2 linked regions of the Macaca mulatta genome follow. The protein of the gene in region 1 interacts with the protein of each later gene in a biochemical or structural test. Links are inferred from orthologs where the notes say so. Each region holds a gene or a part of one and is shown in the gene's direction. Other genes may lie near its edges.

Evidence for each region.
Region 2: the proteins of PRMT1 (region 1) and BTG2 form a complex in vitro, tested with the Homo sapiens proteins (2 studies listed by BioGRID). The link is inferred for Macaca mulatta from reciprocal best matches to the Homo sapiens genes PRMT1 and BTG2.

Annotation. Positions count from the first base shown.
Region 1 is NC_133424.1:62,134,538-62,144,505, forward strand, and holds the end of PRMT1 (protein arginine N-methyltransferase 1), read left to right. Parts: intron 1-1,331; coding exon 1,332-1,487; intron 1,488-1,614; coding exon 1,615-1,678; intron 1,679-3,951; coding exon 3,952-4,094; intron 4,095-4,769; coding exon 4,770-4,857; intron 4,858-4,937; coding exon 4,938-5,053; intron 5,054-6,566; coding exon 6,567-6,717; coding exon of another isoform or gene 6,718-6,809; intron 6,810-7,109; coding exon of another isoform or gene 7,110-7,167; exon of another isoform or gene 7,168-7,388; coding exon 7,389-7,510; intron 7,511-8,926; coding exon 8,927-9,010; 3' UTR 9,011-9,212; downstream 9,213-9,968. UniProt on the Homo sapiens protein: Arginine methyltransferase that methylates (mono and asymmetric dimethylation) the guanidino nitrogens of arginyl residues present in proteins such as ESR1, histone H2, H3 and H4, FMR1, ILF3, HNRNPA1, HNRNPD, NFATC2IP, SUPT5H, TAF15, EWS, HABP4, SERBP1, RBM15, FOXO1, CHTOP, MAP3K5/ASK1, MICU1 and NPRL2.
Region 2 is NC_133406.1:61,037,616-61,047,974, forward strand, and holds BTG2 (protein BTG2), read left to right. Parts: upstream 1-5,506; 5' UTR 5,507-5,583; coding exon 5,584-5,725; intron 5,726-7,016; coding exon 7,017-7,351; 3' UTR 7,352-7,481; downstream 7,482-10,359. UniProt on the Homo sapiens protein: Anti-proliferative protein; the function is mediated by association with deadenylase subunits of the CCR4-NOT complex. Activates mRNA deadenylation in a CNOT6 and CNOT7-dependent manner. In vitro can inhibit deadenylase activity of CNOT7 and CNOT8.

The DNA of each region.
Region 1 (9,968 bases):
CCGGCCTGACAGCTTCTGCACCCTTGAGATCTGACTGAAGACTCTGAAATCCCAGAACGAAGCAGGAGTGGCATTCTAAGGAATTTTCTTTTCCCCCTGAGGCCTTTTTCATAAAATTATGGCAAAATATGCATAAAATTGCCATTTTTCATTTTTAGAGACAGGGTCTCGCTCTGTCGCCCAGGTTAGAGCACAGTGGTACAATCGTGGCTCACCGCAGCCTCGACCTCCCCAGCTCAGGTGTTCCCCCCACTTCCGCTTTCGGAGTAGCTGGCACCACAGGCGTGCGCCACCACTCCCAGCTGATTTTCTTATTTTTCTTTTTTTTTTTTTTTTTTTTTTTTTTTTTTTTTTTTTTTTTTGAGACGGAGTCTCACGCTGTTGCCCAGGCTGGAGTGCAGTGGCGCGATCTCGGCTCACTGCAAGCTCCGCCTCCCGGGTTCCCGCCATTCTCCTGCCTCAGCCTCCTGAGTAGCTGGGACTACAGGCGCCCGCCACCGCGCCCGGCTAATTTTTTGTATTTTTAGTAGAGACGGGGTTTCACCGTGGTCTCGATCTCCTGACCTTGTGATCCGCCCGCCTCGGCCTCCCAAAGTGCTGGGATTACAGGCTTGAGCCACCGCGCCCGGCCGATTTTCTTATTTTTCTGTAGAGATAGTCTTGCCTTGTTGCCCAGGCTGGTCTCAAAGTCTTGGGCTCAAGTGATCTTCCAGCTTTGGCATCCTGAGGTGCTGGGATTACAGGCATGAGCCTCTTCCCCCAGCCTGAGGACTTGTAAAAGCCAAGGGTTCGCTGGTTCTTAGGTGGCAGTGGTGAAGTCTGGCCAAGATGGGAGTTTAGTTCTCTGATTTTTTAAAAAGGGAAACTGGCTGGGCACGGTGGCTCACGCCTGTAATCACAGCACTTTAGGGGGCCGAGGTGGGTGGATCACCTGAGGTCAGGAGTTCAAGACCAGCCTGGGCAATATGGTGAAATCCCATCTCTGTGAAAAATACAAAAATTAGCCAGGCATGGCGGTGTGTGCCTGTAATCGAAACTACTCGGGAGGCTGAGGCAGGAGAATCGCTCGAACCCAGGAGGCAGAGGTTGCAGTGAGCTGAGATTGCCCCACTGCACTCCAGCCTGGGCAACTGAGTGAGATTCCGTCTCAAAAAATAAAATAAAATAAAATAAAATAAAAATAAATAACTGAATAAATAAAAAAGGGAAACTGAGGTGCATGGAAGGAAGCAAGAGGACGGAGTTCCGGCCCTCCGAGCTCTCAGGACACACTGTTCTTCAGCGGGGAATGTGGGGCCCCTCACGGCATCTCTGTGCCGTTCTTCCCTCAGGAGATGTTGAAGGACGAGGTGCGTACCCTCACGTACCGCAACTCCATGTTTCACAACCGGCACCTCTTCAAGGACAAGGTGGTGCTGGACGTCGGCTCGGGCACCGGCATCCTCTGCATGTTCGCCGCCAAGGCCGGGGCCCGCAAGGTCATTGGGGTGAGTCTCCGGGGCTTCCAGGCAGGGCCAGGCCTGGGGAATGGAGGGGGGCCATCAGGGCTCAGGGATGGGACGGAGGGGATGGGGACGGGATAGGTCTCACTCTCCCTTCTCCCTGGGCCCTCAGATCGAGTGTTCCAGTATCTCTGATTATGCGGTGAAGATCGTCAAAGCCAACAAGTTAGACCACGGTGAGCCCAGAAAGAGGATGGGTTTGTGGGAGCGGAGGGGGTGATGCGCCGCTTCCCCAGGGCCCTCTGAAGAGCAGTGGGGTCTACGGATGGCCACAGATTCAGCGGCTCCCCACCCATGGTCTTCTGGGCTGCCGGCCACCTGAGAATTTGAGTGTCAAAATCACAAGCTTAGCACCTCCGTCTTAAAATTAGGGCAAGAAGCACTCTCTAGTTTCTTGAATGAGTAATAGAGTCACGTGGTTGGCCACTGTTCTCACAGTGAGAAGCCTGCCCTGTTTCCCAGCTGCCCTCCTCCGAGTTTAACCAACACTAACTTCTAGAGACGTCTGGACCTACAAACACATATATATGTAAATGTGTTTACATTCACGCGCATAATTTTCACGCCGGTAGCATTTCATACCAGCCTCTTGCCCTTGGCTTCTTAAACACCTGCTTGTCATGTCGTTTAACATATTCCAGGCCGGGCGCGGTGGCTCAAGCCTGTAATCCCAGCACTTTGGGAGGCCGAGGCGGGCGGATCACAAGGTCAGGAGATCGAGACCATCCTGGCTAACCTGGTGAAACCCCGTCTCTACTAAAAAATACAAAAAATTTGCCGGGCGTGATGGCGGGCGCCTGTAGTCCCAGCTACTCGGGAGGCTGAGGCAGGAGAATGGCGTAAACCCGGGAGGCGGAGCTTGCAGTGAGCTGAGATCCGGCCACTGCACTCCAGCCTGGGCAACAGAGCGAGACTCCGTCTCAAAAAAAAAAAAAAAAAAAAAACATATTTCAGGATGTTGCAGCATCCACTCTTTTCCGTGACCACCATTGTAGGTACATCCCAGCTTTTTTTTTTTTTTTTTTTTTTTGAGACGGATTCTCGCTCTGTCACCCAGGCTGGAGTACAGTGGCGCGATCTCGGCTCACTGCAAGCTTCGCCTCCCAGGTTCACACCATTCTCCTGCCTCAGCCTCCCGAGTAGCTGGGATTACAGGTGCCCGCCACCATGCCTGACTAATTTTTTTGTATTTTTAGTAGAGACGGGGTTTCACCGTGTTAGTCAGGATGGCCTCGATCTTCTGACCTGTGATCCGCCTGCCTCAGCCTCCCAAAGTGCTGGGATTACAGGCGTGAAATTTTTTTTTTTTTTTTTGTATTTTTTTAGTTGAGACGTGGTTTCACCATGTTGGCCAGGCTGGTCTTGAACTCACCTCAGGTGATCTGCCCACCTTGGCCTCCCAAAGTGCTGAGATTGGGGAATTTTTTAAAAGAGATTATTATAATGAACATCCAAGTCCATTTGAAGCAAATTCCCACTGTGATGTAATTTTCCTGGTAAATGCGTTTGCATGTGTCTTATCTAATAGATAAGGCTGTTTTGAGAATGTGACCATGCTCTTACTTATTATATCAAGCCTGCCCAGTTAAAAACAAAATCGTGGCCGGGCGCGGTGGCTCAAGCCTGTAATCCCAGCACTTTGGGAGGCCGAGACGGGTGGATCACGAGGTCAGGAGATCGAGACCATCCTGGATAACACGGTGAAACCCCGTCTCTACTAAGAAATACAAAAAACTAGCCGGGCGAGGTGGCGGGTGCCTGTAGTCCCAGCTACTCGGGAGGCTGAGGCCGGAGAATGGCGTGAACCCGGGAGGCGGAGCTTGCAGTGAGCTGAGATCCGGCCACTGCACTCCAGCCTGGGCTACAGAGCGAGACTCCGTCTCAAAAAAAAAAAAAAACAAACAAAAAAACAAAACCAAAATCGTGACTGGGCGCAGTGGCTCACGCCTGTAATCCCAGCACTTTGGGAGGCCAAGGTGGGCGGATCACGAGGTCAGGAGATCGAGACCACCCTGGCTAACATGGTGAAACACCGTCTCTACTAAAAATACAAAAAAATGAGCCGGGCGTGGTGGCGGGCCCCTGTAGTCTCAGCTACTGGGGAGGCTGAGGCAGGAGAATGGTGTGAACCTGGGAGGCGGAGCTTGCAGTGAGCCGAGATCGTGCCACTGCACTCCAGCCTGGGCAACAGAGTGAGACTCCGTCTCAAAAAAAAATAAAAATAAAAAAATCATTACATTGCCTGATACCCAGTTCACATAAAATTTCTGCTCCTGCCTCAAAAATGTCCAGAGCCATGTATGAATTTTAAAACAGTTAAGAGGGTTCATGGCTTCTGCTCACCGAGTTCTCTGAACTGAGTGGGGTCCCCAGGCTGTGGCCCCCGGGGGAGGGGAGGTGAGGGGCAAGCCTCCTGGGGGCTGACGTGGCCGCCCTTGTCTGCCCGCAGTGGTGACCATCATCAAGGGGAAGGTGGAGGAGGTAGAGCTCCCGGTGGAGAAGGTGGACATCATCATCAGCGAGTGGATGGGCTACTGCCTCTTCTACGAGTCCATGCTCAACACCGTGCTCTACGCCCGGGACAAGTGGCTGGTGAGGCCCCAGCGAACGGGTGCAGCTCGCATGGGCTGGGGGCCAAAAGCACTCAATTTTTCCCACAGACGGGACTTACTATGGGGGTGTGGCTGCAAGGTGTTAGAAGGCCACAGCCCGAGCCAGGTGTGACAGACCCTGGTGGGAGATGGTGCGATGTGGGGGGGTTTGTAGGAACAGGAAAACTGTAGCAGGGCACTAGACCAGGTTCTCCGGCCCCAGCAGGCCGCCCCGGGAGAGGTAAGGTGACCGAGAGCTGGATGAAGATGTGGAGGGGTGGCCAGGGCAGGTGTTCCCTTGCTGCATGTGGAGCAGCAGGGAGGCCCGTGTGGAAGGAGGGTCTAGAAGGGCAGCAGGAGGAGCAGTGGAGGTAAGGGGTGACAGGGCATGTGCAGATTTTGTGGGGCCTTATGGGACCCCGCGCGACTTTGCTTTTCCTCTCAGAGCAGCCAGGGAGGGTCTGAGGATCCCCAGAACCTCGAGGGACAGGAGCTGACTGAGGTGCCCCTGGGTGCCCTCTGGCGGCCGTGTGGGAAATAGACCAGGGGGTGAGGGGTGAGTGCCGCTGCGACATGAGGGTGGCTCAGACCAGGGCAGAAGGTCACATCTCGGGGGCAAGAGTCAGGGCAGCATTGCCAGGCCCCACCCTTCATGCCTCGCCCTGCCCCTCTGCAGGCGCCCGATGGCCTCATCTTCCCAGACCGGGCCACGCTGTATGTGACGGCCATCGAGGACCGGCAGTACAAAGACTACAAGATCCACTGTGAGCGTGGCCCAGGAGCGGGCGGGCGGGGCCCCGGGTGGGCTGCCGCGGGCTCACCCCCTCCCTGCCTGCCTCCCCAGGGTGGGAGAACGTGTATGGCTTCGACATGTCTTGCATCAAAGATGTGGCCATCAAGGAGCCCCTAGTGGATGTGGTGGACCCCAAACAGCTGGTCACCAATGCCTGCCTCATAAAGGTGAGGGGGGGGTGGGCATGGCCAGGTGCCCCCTGGGTTGAAACCAAAGAGAGGCCATCACCTGGCCCTGGCATGGGACTTTGGGGCCCAGAGTGTTGGCCTGAGGTCTCAGAGCCTGACCTGCCAGCCAGAGGTGGTGCTAGGGGCCCAGGAAAGACATTTCATCCTTTAAACATCTTTGTGAGCGCTGCCGTGTGAGAACCACGTTTGGCACTTGGTGTCCGGCAGAGGACACACCCGCAGCTGGTAGCTAAAGCCCACAGCCCGTACACGGGAAGGCAGGACCCGGGGCGATGAGCGGGTGCACACGCTGCAGAAGAGCAGGGGGCCAGGCTGGGATCCGAGATGTGCCTGTGGTTGCAGCTACTCAGGAGGCTGAGGCGGGAGGATCTCTTGGGCCTGGGAGTTCAAGGCTGCAGTGAGCTGTGATCACATCCCTGCACTCCAGCCTTGGTGACAGTGTTTTGTTTTGTTTTTAACTTTTTTTAACTTCTGAGACCCTGTTTGTTTATTTATTTATTTTTTCTTTTTTTTTTGAGACGGAGTCTTGCTCTGTCGCCCAGGCTGGGGTGCAGTGGCCGGATCTCAGCTCACTGCAAGCTCCGCCTCCCGGGTTTATGCCATTCTCCTACCTCAGCCTCCCGAGTAGCTGGGACTACAGACTCCCGCCAACCCGCCTGGCTAGTTTTTTTTTTTTTTTTTTGCATTTTTTAGTAGAGATGGGGTTTCACTGTGTTAGCCAGGATGGTCTCGATCTCCTGACCTTGTGATCCGCCCGTCTCGGCCTCCCAAAGTGCTGGGATTACAGGCTTGAGCCACCGCGCCCGGCCGACCCTGTTTAAAAAAAAAAAAATAAGGCAACGAGTATTTGTTGAGCTGGGATGTGTGAGCCGGGTGAAGCTGGGTGGTTGGCCGGGGGTTCCTGTGGGGAGGAGGAAGCTGTTGAGTGGGAATGGAGAGGAGACTGGAGGGGCAGGGACCCCACCCAGGCCACCCTCCTGAGAACCAGCGGAACTGGTGCAGGGTTTTCAGTTGGTGTTTGGATTGCCGTTTGAAGCCATCATGCTGGTGGACTTGTGAAGGGTTGGGGAGAGTGGGGAGCGCGGAGAGGGGGGAGCGCGGAGAGGGTGGAGCGCGGAGGGGGGAGCGCGGAGAGCGGGGAGCACGGAGAGGGGGGAGCGTGGAGAGGGGGGAGCAGGGTGCCTGCATTCCCAGGAGGTCTGGCCAGGTGGGGTCGGGGCGGGGTGGGCTCTGGACAGAGTTAGGGTGGCGGCGCCAGGTTTGGGTGCGGGAGAGAAGGGAGCAAAGAATCTGGGCTCAAACCGAGGCGGTTTATTGGGAGCCGGACAGTCAGGATGAGGAGTGAATGAGGAGCTGAGGCTGGGTGCCAGTAAGGGAGGGCCAGCGGGAAGGGGACAGTGAGGTCACAGGCCCTCTGGGAGCTTGAGGGAGGGAGGAGGGGATGAAGCGAGGTGGGGACACATCCCGGAGCTCACCCTCTCCTGTCCTGCAGGAGGTGGACATCTACACCGTCAAGGTGGAAGACCTGACGTTCACCTCCCCGTTCTGCCTGCAAGTGAAGCGGAATGACTACGTGCACGCCCTGGTGGCCTACTTCAACATCGAGTTCACGCGCTGCCACAAGAGGACGGGCTTCTCCACCAGTGAGGCGGGGCCCGCAGGGCTGGGGGCTGCTCCTGAGCCAGGGCCGAGGGGCACCCACATAGTGGAGGGGGTGACAGAAACGGGCAGAGGGGCCGGGCACGGTGGCTCAAGCCTGTAATCCCAGCACTTTGGGAGGCCGAGGCGGGTGGATCACGAGGTCAGGAGATCGAGACTATCCTGGCTAACATGGTGAAACCCCGTCTCTACTAAAAATACAAAAAACTAGCCGGGCATGGTGGCGGGCGCCTGTAGTCTCAGCTACTTGGGAGGCTGAGGCGGCAGAATGGCGTGAACCTGGGAGGCGGAGCTTGCAGTGAGCCGAGATCACGCCACTGCACTCCAGCCTGGGAGACACAGCGAGACTCCGTCTCAAAAAAAAAAAAAAAAAAAGAAACGGGCAGAGGGAGCCATGGGGACATGTGTGTTCCAGCGTGAGCTCTGCCATGTAGCAGTCACATGGCCTTGGGCAAGTGACCTGAGTGTGCAGTGCCTCAGTTTCCTCATCCACAAAAGCCTGACACGGTCCCTGTCTCCAAAGCTGAATGACAGGGAGGTGACTCACGGACAGCAGTCCCGTCAGCTGTCAGGGGGGTGGACATTCCAACAGAGGGAACACAAGACTGGGGCCAGGGCAGCAGGCCAAGGCCAGCTGACCCGCCTGCGCCCCCAGGCCCTGAGTCCCCGTACACGCACTGGAAGCAGACAGTGTTCTACATGGAGGACTACCTGACCGTGAAGACGGGCGAGGAGATCTTCGGCACCATCGGCATGCGGCCCAATGCCAAGAACAACGTGAGGCTCTGGGCAGCTGGGCAGGAGGGTGGCAGCCGGGGTGGGGAGCATGGATAGGGGCAGTGGTAGGGGGGAATGGTGGCAGCGTAGGGGATGGGGGTAGCTGGGGCGGATGGGGGCAGCTGGCAGGGGCGAGTGCCTCTGCCTGTTCCCGGGTCCCTGAGCCCCTCAGCCCCACGCCTGTCTACACAGCAGATTTCTTAGCATTTACTGGAAGATGGGCCTGGGGACCCAGGCCAAAGCCCTGTCCTCCTGGTGCTTCCAGTCTACACAAGGGGATCAGTGACATGGTGATGCCAGTGGGAGGTGACGTCTGTCAGGCTGGGAGCAGGGCAGACAGGTGTTGGCGTGGGTGACCTCCAGGGCAAGAGGCGGCCCCGGTAGAGCGCACAGGGTTTGCTAGCCCAGGTGGGAGGCATGAGAGGAGGAGAAAGGCAGCTTTTTGTTTTCCACTCCCCCTTTTTCCTCCTGAGCACCTGGTAGGAGCTGCCATCACCTGAGATCAGGGGGTTTCCAGGGGAGCTGGGGGGGGCTTCTGGGAGAGAGGGTCTGGGCAGAGAGGTCCAGTGTGGCGGGTTTGAGCAGGCAGGAGGATGGAAGGCCGGGAGCCTGGAGTCACCGGGAGTGGTGTGGGCTGGAAGAGTGAGTCCCGGCCCATGGGTGCGAGGGTGGGTGGCACTCAGGGCAGTCATGGAATGTGGGCCCCGGGACGCCCTCGAGCCCGTGACAGCAGCAGTTGTCAGCTGGGCAGTTTCAGTGCCCCCCACCCCCGACAGAGGACGTTCGTCACCATCTGTGGAAACATTTGTGGTTGTCACTCTGGAGAAGGGGTGCTCCTGGCATCTGGTATGTAGGGGCCAGGGGCTGGTAAACGTCCTACAACCACAGGACCACCCCCTGCAAAGACTCCTGTAGCCCCTGGGGCCACGGCGCTAGCTGGGAAACAGATACTGGAGAGGGAGGAGGAGTCCTCGGGGCTGTTGGCAACTTGATCCCCTCTTCCTGTGCTGGAGGGTATGGGGGGTCTTCCGGAAGCCTGGGAGGAGAAGTGGAGACAGAGGCTGGACCACTGCGTTTCACTGGAATGTTTGCCTGAGCAGAAGTGGGCTTGGGAGAGGTTTTCTGATTTATGAAAGAAGCAATCACTGCGTTGCTGATAGGGAACGTCTTGATGGAGAAATCCAAGGGCAAGGGATAGCAGCCAGGCTCTGCTCCTGAGTGAACCTAGTGGGCTTGAGGGTGTCCACGTGGCGCTGTCCCTTGACAGGGTCAGGACAGCTGCTAGGGTGGGACCAGCAGTTGGGGTCTGCAGTGTGGAGATGGGCAGGAAGCTGGAGCCCAGCGCATGGCCTGCCTGCACCCCCCTGCCACCACCTCCTGGTGGGTTCCGCCCTCATGCCCGCCCTCTCCCCACAGCGGGACCTGGACTTCACCATCGACCTGGACTTCAAGGGCCAGCTGTGCGAGCTGTCCTGCTCCACTGACTACCGGATGCGCTGAGGCCCGGCTCTCCCGCCCTGCACGGGCCCAGGGGCTGAGCGTTCCTAGGCGGTTTCGGGGCTCCCCCTTCCTCTCCCTTCTTCCCACAGAAGGGGGTTTTAGGGGCCTGGGCTGGGGGGATGGGGAGGGCACATCGTGACTGTGTTTTTCATAACTTATGTTTTTATATGGTTGCATTTACGCCAATAAATCCTCAGCTGGGGTCTGGTTCCATTTCCTGGGGGCAAAGGAGGTTTGGGGTTTCCTTCGCAGGTGCTGAGGTGCCAGCCTGAGCAGTGGGGGGACCGGCCTTGGAGCCTGCTGGTGGCTGCCATTCTGTGGATCTGCATCTCCCCTCCCCTGTCGCTAGGCCTCTGGCTCCCTTCCACGGCTCTCTCTCAGGGTCTGTCCCCTCCTCGGCTGTCTCAGGCTCCCTCCGGCTCCCTCCCCTCCACGGCTCTCTCAGGCTCCCTCCCATCCACAGCTGTCTCTCAGGGTCTTTGTCCCACTCTTCATCCCCTCCTGGGTCTGCGCCCCTCCCCTCTGCAGTGCCCCTGTGTCCTCCTGCCTGGTGGGGGATGGGGTTGGCGTTCCAGCACAGCCAGCCCTCAAGTTTCCCAGAACAGTCTCCCCACCTTCCCCCAACACTCACATTGTACCTCTCTGGCTGTTTTTTCCTGTTTGGGTCCCTCCAAGGCCCAACTGTGCCCAGCCCTCTGCAGCTGGGGACACTGAGTGGGTTGGGGGTGTATGTTGGGGAGGATAGAATTTCTTGTGGGGGTGTGGCCCTGCTTCCTCCCCTAGCATGGCTTGGGGCTTAGGGCTGGGGACTTGCCCTCCATGGAGGTCAGTGGGAGTTGCAGCTCAAAGGTGGCAGGGCCTACCCATCTTACAGAGGCCAAGACGAGGCCCCTCTGCCTCTGCTGCAGCCATGGAGTCTGCACCCACCCTTCTACCCTCAGAGCCTGGCCATGGGGTC
Region 2 (10,359 bases), on another chromosome or scaffold:
GACCGCACCACTGCACTCCAGCCTGGGTGACAGAGCGAGACTCTGCCTCAAAAAAACAAAAAACAACAAAGTCCCATCTCAAAAAGTGTCCTCAGGGATGTAAAACTTGTTACCTGCAGATTAGAAAGCTGTTTGCTTACTGATGTGTTAGCAAGCCTTCCTTCAGTCTAGATGGGTAGTTTTCTGCTTACCCTCAACCCTAATCATCTTTGCATTATCTATTTCTGTCCCTACTCTCAGTTCATTCTGGGGTGGAGGAAGGGGTTCAAACCAGAAATATTAAAAATAGCTACCTTCCTGTAGTTCTCATTAGCAGGTTTTAGAGACAATGTCATTTTCTCCTCTTCTTAAATTCTCTTCTGATTCTAAAGAATGACTCCCAGACTGGCTGGCCTAGAACTGACCTTGAAAGGTTCAACTTTGTGAGAAACTGATAGTGAACCCCCAAAGATGTCCTGATCGTTACCCAATGATGCTTGCAAAGAGTTGTGATATATTTAGCAGTATTTCCACCCTGATTAGGAAGTGAGGAAGAGGCAGCTGGTCTTCCCCGGGTGATGTTTCTTATCAGCTCTGGTCAGCACAGTCAAGTTGTCACCAATGAGGTCTGTTAAGAGGAAAGATCAAATTAGTATTTGCACCAGCTATACTCAGACATACTCCACCAAAATGTACACTCTATCATAACATTTCACAAGACGTCCTTCTTCAACAGATACCATTGTATGTGCTTATTAACATAGCGAACACATATCCATATTCCCTGCTACCCACACACATCAGAGCCCAAGTGCAATCTAAGTATGTATGCTCACTCAAATATATATACTAATAACTCCCTAACCACACTGACACACACACACAGACCAACAAAAAATACACTCTGCATGGTGTAGAAATGACCTGATGTTATCCTCCTAGAATATCTCAGCCCAGCCTCTGCCTGCCTCACTCAACCTCAGGTTTCTACCTGTGCTCAGAAAATTGAGGCAACCAAGCCAAGTCCCCACAGGCCCAACAGGGCTCTGGGAAAGACAGAAATTACTTACAAAGATCCAGTTGCTTCTGAGCTGGAAATGGAGAGCAGGGCTGCATGCTAACCCCACAAACAGCGCCAGCACAGAGGCCTGAGGAGTGGGACCCACTTCTGAATGGGAATATGGTCTGAAGAGAGCAGGTGGGTCACTCCTGAGTGGGTCACACAGGTGGGCCATGCAAGTAGGCGAGGTGAGCAACCAGGACTAGAGGAATCAATAGGTCTGAGGTCAAATGGGACAGAAGTTCTGGTCCAGATGAGGCATAAATGAAGTCCACCCTCACTTCTACCACCCCATTCCCCCTCTTCAGTGGGTGAAGTCACTGGTCAGCACATGTCAACATTTAAAGTTCAAAATTCAACCCAAGACCCTTGGGTGGGAGTGGAGGGAGGGAGAGAAGAATGAGGAGGAAGAGGAGGAGGAGGAAGGGCAGGAATGGAGAAAGAGAAGCAGGAAGGACAGGTGGGGAGGGAGAGGCGACCCATTCTCCTTATCTTGCTGCTCAAACAGCACCTTGATTATACCAAGGAATGGGAAGCAACAGGCAACATGCAAAGAAAAAAAGCAGGGATGACAGCTTGACTTTTAGAGCTTCTAAGGATTCTAGTCCTAGCAATTTAAGAGCAGTTTCAGGAAATTTCAAAAACAGTTGGGACTACTATAATGTATTTGTTCAGAAATTGATTGAGAACCTAAATCCAGAGTTGAGTACAATTACACCGTATGCATATGTATATTTTTAATTAATTATTTTTTATGTTTTGAGATGGATTCTCACTCTGTTGCCCAGGATGGAGTGCAGTGTCGTGATCTCGGCTCACTGCAAACTCTGCCTCCTGGGTTCAACCGATTCTGCTGCCTGAGCCTCTGGAGTAGGCTTTACCAGCGCCCGCCACCACACCCAGCTAATTTATTATTATTATTATTATTATTATTATTACTTATTTTTAGCAGAGACTGGGTTTCGCCATGTTGGCCAGGCTGGTCTCAAACTCCTGTCCTCAAATGATCAGTCTGTCTCAGCCTCCCAAAGTCCTGGGATTACAGGCATGAGCTACCACACCCGGCTACGCTGTATATTGACTTGGGAACTTTGAATGTGAGATAAATTAAGCTTCCTCTCCCTAGGCTTGTGTATAGAAAGAAAAGAGGAGAGTCTGGGCACAATGGCTCACACCTGTAATCCCAGCACTTTGGGAAGCCGAGGTGGGTGGATCACGAGGTCAAGAGATCGAGATCATCCTGGCCAATATGATAAAACCCCACCTCTACTAAAAATACAAAAATAGCTGGGCATGGTGGCACATGCTTGTAGTCCCAGCTACTCGGGAGGCTAAGGCAGGAGAATTGCTTGAACCCGGGAGGCGGAGGTTGCAGTGAGCTGAGATCAGGCCACTGCACTCCAGCCTGATGACAGAGCGAGATCCCATCTCAAAAAAAAAAAAAAAAAAGAAAAAAAAAGAAAAAGAAAAGAGGAGAAAGCGGGGGCACTGCCTTCTGGTATTTATGGATCATATCTGCCCTACACAAAGTTCACAAACTAATCACCAATGAGGAGGCCAAGACACACCCCGGGTAACGGTGGAGACAAAGGGTTCCAGCCTCCCGGCTCCTGTCCCATTCACTACATCATCTGCAATGACAGCTCTGTAGGACGGCGGCCCATGCAACAGCAGCAGAAGGGCACCACAGTCTAATGAAAAGGTCCCATACTTGAAGTCAGAAAATTTGGTCCCAGTCCTGGTTCTCTTGAGAATTCACTGTGTGGCCTGGTGAGTGACAGAAAAATCTACATAAGGACAGAATTCTATTTTCTAAAGCAAAAAACAGGTGAGGGGCTACCACAATATTTTTTTCAGCAGTGCAGTTGCAAGAGATGTTAGGCATCTCCTACGACTCACCCCTGTCACAGACATACCCAGGAAGATGGTTGGTGTTTTCAGATTTAGGTGCTGAATGACCCTATATAGCTGTCTATATCTTGACCTATTTCCCTGACTTCCTTAGTGGTTGACCTTGGTCAGTTCTGGCCTTGCTGACACCTGGTCTGTATGGTTTGGTATATCTTTAAGTTAACTTGTTTCCAGGGTCAGCCCTGTTTCCTGTAACAAATAATTCTTTCCCCTCAGTGAGGAGAAATAATGGCCTCATCTGGCCTGATCCAGCGTTTGGGGAGAAGCCAGTGAAAGAGGCCGTCTAAGAGATACGTTTAATGCCAAAATATTAGAATTTGGGGTCGTTTTGTTATATGAAGCAGTAGAGCAGCATATTTGAATTCTGAATTGTCCCAGAAATGTGGGACATGTGAGCATAGTAACCTGTTTTCAAGTAACTTGCAAACTGTGGTTGAGTCTCTAAAAAGATCACTAACAATGCCAAATGATAGATTGTGAATGCCCAGTGAATGGTATGGATGACTAACTCAGCCTCGAGAGAATGGTCAGCATAGGCTTTCAAGGTGGAAGACCAATATTACACTGTACCTTCAGCAGTGTGAGAGATTGAGGTGGGGGTGGGGCGTGGTAGAGACAATGATGTATGCAGGAGATAAGGACATGAGCCACGGAGCAGCAAGGTCATGCATGTTCAGGCATGCATGGAATGGGGACCACGTTACAGGGCAGAGATGGGGATCATGGGCAAACTGTTGAGGGATCCAGGCTGTAGATTCGCTGTGATACTTAGAGGGCAGTGAGAAGAGTGACCCTGGAACACAAAGTAGCAGAAACCTAAAAAAGCAGATGGGGCTAAATTATGAAGGGTCTTAAACATTAGGCAAAGGAGTCTGGACTGGAATTAGTAGACCAATCTGGGAGGGGATGTTTCGGAATGACCTGATCAAGAGAAGAGCTAGGGAATTAAGTATTTTACCAAGGGAACTCCACTAACAGTGGGAAGGGTGGCCTGGGGATGGGACTGGATGGAATCCACTGCAACCATCTAGACAGAAAGAAGCAACCGATTTGGGGACTGGATCTGGGGAGCAAAGCACAAGGAGAGGCTGACCTTTCTGTACAGAGTGACTGGGAAATGATGGTATGGCTGACAGAAATGGAGATCAAGAGGGAGCTAGCTTTGGAGAAGACAATGGGCTTCCGCTCACATTGAGGTGGTGGCTGGACATCTGAGGGAGAGGACAGAGCTGGTGGGAACAGGAGCAGGATGGAAAGACAGGAGGACAGACTGTGCAGATGAGAAAAGTCACTGTAAAACAGTAAACATCAAGGCAGACTACATGCATAGGACCTCTCCAAGGAAAGGCAGCCTAGAGAAAAGGGAGGAGGACTGAGGAGACATAGTGTGGGGAACGGGGCAGGAAGGGATCCAGGGCCAGCACAGCCAGGCAGTGGGGTGGAGAAGCCTGGGGCATAAGGAAAAAGGACAGGGACACTGCTTCCAGAAGGTGGTCAGAGGGTTCAGAGTTCAAGGAAAATAAGAATTTACAGAGGCCATTGGGTTTGAGTCACCTTACAAACACTGGGCATCTGTATGCCAGACCCTGGGCCAGGCTTCGGGGTGTTGGGTAGAAGTTATCCCCATTCGGAAGACATCCACCGAGTGCCTGTGATGGTGGCGGTCCCTGAGTGTGGAAGAGGGAGACTGAGGCCGGATTCTTTCTCGAGAAGGTCCAATCCACAATAAGGAAGGAAGACGGCTGGGGAAGGAGGGAGTGGACGGAAAAATATGTACAGTTGAGAGCAGACTACTAATTCAAAAAAATTAGCACTTAAGGAAAGTGAGAACTAGAAAAATAAGTTAAGAAGACAAAAGTCTTGCAACACACCCCCTACCCCTATCCACCATAAAACTTAGACTTGAATGTTTCTCAGCAAGAGAAAAGGCATTGCTGCAGAACGGAACTTGTTGTGGGAGGTGGGATTACTACGGAAATAAGCAGAAGACAGCCTCCCTTTCCAAAGAGCCAAGAGGAACCCATTTCATCTAGTTAAGAGACGAGGCAAAGAGGTAAAATGGTGACAACACGTCCTGGTGAGTGGTTCTGACCGTGTATGGTTGGAAAATGCTGTGGGAATCCGAAAGGGGAACCACCTGGGAACGGTTCTGGGAAGCCTTCTGGTGGTGTCACCGAAGGCTTCTCGGAGGAGGTGGCCTCTAACCCGAGCCTTAAAAATGGGAGGAGAGGCGAGGCCGGGGCCTGCCCGGCGCGGAGTACTCGGGAGCCTCCTCCCCGAGCCTCGCTTTCTCCTCTCGTCTCGCTCAGCTCAGCTGGGCGCAGGTTCCTAGCACTGACGTCAGCGAGCGATGACCTCAGCGCCGCCAAGGCTGCGAGGGCGGGGGCTGGGGTGGCGGGGGCGGGGAAGAGCGGCGGAGCGCGGGGCGGGGCGGGGCGGGCCCGAGCCCCGCCCCCATCCGTTGGCCGCGGCCAATGAGCGCCGCCACCGGTTGTCCCCACCTCCCTGGACCTCCTGAAAAAGGCGGCCCGGGGAAAGTCCGGGCAGAGCCCGAGCAGTGGCCAGGGCAGCGCTGGCTTGTGGACCCGTACTTCCCGCCCGAGACCTCTCACTGAGCCCGAGCCGCGCGCGACATGAGCCACGGGAAGGGAACCGACATGCTCCCGGAGATCGCCGCCGCCGTAGGCTTCCTCTCCAGCCTCCTGAGGACCCGGGGCTGCGTGAGCGAGCAGCGGCTTAAGGTCTTCAGCGGGGCGCTCCAGGAGGCACTCACAGGTGAGCGCGTGCCGAGGGGCCTGGCGCCACCGGGGGTCGGCCCCCTCCCTGCCAGGGCCGTCTTTCCTTTACTCCTGCGGCAGGGTCACCCACAGGAGCAGCTTTGGGACTCGGTGGCCCTCCTCCGACCCCCGGGGCGGCCCGCAGTCCCCAGTTTCCTGGGTCTTCCTCCCCAACCCTGTGCTCGGGTCTCGGCCCGTGGCTGTTCTGATGGGGCGCGCCCCTCCACGCTCTCGGAGGCGCAAACCCTGGTCCTGGAGTGCCAGCCCGAGTCCCCAGCTTATGTCCCGGTCTCATTACGGGCTCGTCTCCCTCGCTGGACCCTCGAGATCTTAAGACCCTCGATGGATGTTGTTGCGGGCCGCCCGGTCGGCCGAGGGGTCCCGATGAGGGAAGAAGGTGCAGTCGAGCCTTTTCAACAACTCGGAGTCCCAGTGCCGTTCTTCCTGCCGGTCGGGGTGCGCTGTGCCTGGGGCAGTCCACTGGTTGCTGACTCGCTTCAAGTTGGAATTTGGGCCCCCTTTGTGTTCTCTTTGGTTCCCCTTAGCCATCTGCCACCTATTGTGGTAGGGAGGAGAGCCTGGTAGCTGGTGACCCTGCCCTGCTGGCCTTCGAGTTGGGAGGTGAAGAGATAAGCAGCCCGCTCGCTGGCTGGGGAGAGACCTCTCTCCCAGCTGTTTCTAGCTGGTTGCTGTCAGTTTGGGGAAGCGATAGCCATCTCGGAACGCACCCACACAGACCCTGCCTTCTGAGAAAAACAGATGTTTCATCAAAACAACCCAGTTTTCACTCCCTTGGGCACTGCTAAGGAAGGTTCCCTGACTCTTCTGAAGGAAGCAGAGGGAACACAGGGTGGGAGGCCCAATTACTTGCTGTGGACCCAACAATGTTGGCAGCCTTCCTGGCCCTGAAACTTCAGCTCACAGGTCTCCAGAGGCCCTGCCTGGACATGCCAGCCCCAGTCACACCCTTCCCTCCTGAAACTGGGGGTGTGCCAAAAGCAATACACTGGCCACTGGAGAGTACCCCAGAGCTCTGGAATCCCCTCCCAACATACACACACACACACACACACACACACACGTTCTGGAAGCAGGAAAGCAGATCTCTCCCGCTTCCATAAAATTTTCTCTGCTAAGTGGCAAGAGGGTCCTGGAACTCAGAGGAATCCACCTCCCTTACTTAAAGGGCCCCTTCCTCTCCTGTTCCTTGACCCTCCTCCCTGCTCTGTGGTAGTATCCATGGCCCAGCTGCTCTAACCAGGGCATCTCCCCCCGTCCTGTCTCCACAGAGCACTACAAACACCACTGGTTTCCTGAAAAGCCGTCCAAGGGCTCGGGCTACCGCTGCATTCGCATCAACCACAAGATGGACCCCATCATCAGCAGGGTGGCCAGCCAGATCGGACTCAGCCAGCCCCAGCTGCACCAGCTGCTGCCCAGCGAGCTGACCCTGTGGGTGGACCCCTATGAGGTGTCCTACCGCATTGGGGAGGACGGCTCCATCTGCGTCTTGTACGAGGAGGCCCCAGTGGCCGCCTCCTGTGGGCTCCTCACCTGCAAGAACCAAGTGCTGCTGGGCCGGAGCAGCCCCTCCAAGAACTACGTGATGGCGGTCTCCAGCTAGACCCCTCCGCCCCCGCCCTGGGCGCCGCCGTGCTCATGCTGCCGTGACAACAGGCCACCACATACCTCAACCTGGGGAACTGTATTTTTAAATGAAGAGCTATTTATATATATATTATTTTTTTTTTAAGAAAAGAGGAGGAAAAAAACCAAAAGATTTTTTTTAAGAAAAAAAATCCTTCAAGGGAGCTGCTTGGAAGTGGCCTCCCCAGGTGCCTTTGGAGAGAACTGTTGTGTGTGCTTGAGTCTGTGAGCCAGTGTCTGCCTATAGGAGGGGGAGCTGTTAGGGGGTAGACCTAGCCAAGGTGAAGTGGGAGACGTTTGGCTAGCGCCCCAGGAAGATGGGAGAGGGAGCGAGCAAGATTAGCAACTGTGAACAGAGAGGTTGGGATTTGCCCTGGGGGAGGAAGAGAGGCCAAGTTCAGAACTCTCTGTCTCCCCCAGCCAGACACCTGCATCCCTGGCTCCTCTATTACTCAGGGGCATTCATGCCTAGACTTAAATAATACTATGTTATCTTTTTTTTTTTCCTTTTTCTTTTTAATTATACTTTATATTTCTTTTAATTTTCTAATGAGGTCCTGGGCAGAGAGTGAAAAGGCCTCTCCTGATTCCTACTGTCCTAAGCAGCTTTTCTTGAAATCATGACTTGTTTCTAATTCTACCCTCAGGGGCCTATAGATGTTGCTCTCCAGCCAGGAATCTAAAGCTTTGGGGGTTTTTGTTTTGTTTTGTTTTGTTTCTGAGGGGGGAGGAGGGAACTGGAAGTTACTGGGGTTAGGATGGGAGGGAACTCTGCACAAAACCTTTGCTTTGCTAGTGCTGCTTTGTGTGTATGTGTGGCAAATAATTTGGGGGTGATTTGCAATGGAATTTTGGGACCCAAAGAGTATCCACTGGGGATGTTTTTTGGCCAAACTCTTCTTTTTGGAACCACATGGAAGTCTTGTTGCTGCTGCCATGATCCCTTTGAGAGGTGGCTCAAAAGCTACAGGGAACTCCAGGTCCTCTATTACTGCCTTCTTTTCAAAAGCACAACTCTCCTCTCACCCTCTCCTCCCTCTTCCCTTCCAGTCGGGCCGTGGAGCTACCCTATTTTCTAGGACAAGAGTTCTCAGTCACTGTGCAATATGCCCCCTGGGTCCCAGGAGGGTCTGGAGGAAAACTGGCTCTCGGAACCTCCTGATGCCCTGGTGGGCTTAGGGAACCATCTCTCCTGCTCTCCTTGGGATGATGGCTGGCTGGTCAGCCTTGCATGTATTCCTTGGCTGAATGGGAGAGTGCCCCATGTTCTGCAAGACTACTTGGTATTCTTGCAGGGCCGACACTAAATAAAAGCCAAACCTTGGGCACTGTTTTTTCTCCCTGGTGCTCAGAGCATCTGTGGGAAAGGTTGCTGTCTCTCTCAGTACAATCCAAATTTGTCGTAGACTTGTGCAATATTTACTGTTGTGGGTTGGAGAAAAGTGGAAAGCTACACTGGGAAGAAACTCCCTTCCTTCAATTTCTCAGTGACATGGATGAGGGGTCCTCAAAAGACCTCAAGTTTCCCAAACCGAATCACCTGAAGAAGGACAGGGCTAGGGCATTTGGCCAGGATGGCCACCCTCCTGCTGTTGCCCCTTAGTGAGGAATCTTCCCCCACTTCCTCTACCCCCAGGTTCCCCTCCCCACAGCCAGTCCCCTTTCCTGGATTTCTTAACTGCTCAATTTTGACTCAAAGGTGCTATTTACCAAACACTCTCCCTACCCATTCCTGCCAGCTCTGCCTCCTTTTCAACTCTCCACATTTTGTATTGCCTTCCCAGACCCTGCTTCCAGTCTTTATTGCTTTAAAGTTCACTTTGGGCCCACAGACCCAAGAGCTAATTTTCTGGCTTGTGGGTTGAAACAAAGCTGTGAATCACTGCAGGCTGTGTTCTTGCATCTTGTCTGCAAACAGGTCCCTGCCTTTTTAGAAGCAGCCCCATGGTCTCATGCTTAATCTTGTCTCTCTTCTCTTCTTGATGATGTTCACTTTAAAAACAACGAAACCCCCGAGCTGGACTGTTGAGCAGACCTGTCTCTCCTATTAAGTAAAAATAAATAATAGTAGCATGTTTGTAAGCTATTCTGACAGAAAAGACAAAGGTTACTAATTGTATGATAGTGTTTTTATATGGAAGAATGTACAGCTTATGGACAAATGTACACCTTTTTGTTACTTTAATAAAAATGTAGCAGGATAAACTTGTGTGGCGTAGAGAAGATAAAATTCTCACATTGTACATTTGCGTTTCCCTTTCAGATCCAAATCCTTTCTTTGCGTTTAATAGTATTTCTCCTCAGTTGCACTCAATCTACAGCATGTGGGTGGCATAAAAGAAAAATCTGGTTGTATGGCTGGGCCATTTCCAAGCATCCCCTCTTCCCTGGAAAGTAGCTCGTTACTTCCCTGTTTTTGTTGTTTTTTTTGTTTTGTGTGTGTGTGTGTGTGTGTGTGTGTGTGTGTGTGTGTGTGTGTATTTTTTGTTTTTGTTTTGTTTTTGAGACAGGGTCTCGTTCTGTCGCTCAGGCTGGAGTGCAGTGGTGCAATCTCAGCTCATTGCAACCTCTGCCTCCTGGGCTCAGATAATTCTCCCACCTCTGCCTCTTGAGTAGCTGAGACTGCAGGCATGTGCCACCACACCTGGCTGATTTTTGTAATTTTTGTAGGGACGGGGTTTTGCCATGTTGCCCAGGCTGGTCTCAAACTCCTGAGCTCAAGTGGTCCCCCTGCCTTCGCCTCCCAAAGTGCTGGGATTACAGGCGTGAGCCACCATGCCCAGCCTACTTCCACCTTTAATGAGGATTCTAATTTCCCTGTGAAGATGCTAGAAGTAACAGGGTTCTAGTCTGAACATTCCCTAGTCTAGTCAGATCTCCATCTTATGCATCTTGTTTTTTTGTTTTTGACAGTCCTTCATTTCATTCATTCATTCAGTCAGTCATTCATTTAGCAAGCATGTATTGTCAGTAAGTGCTAGGCAC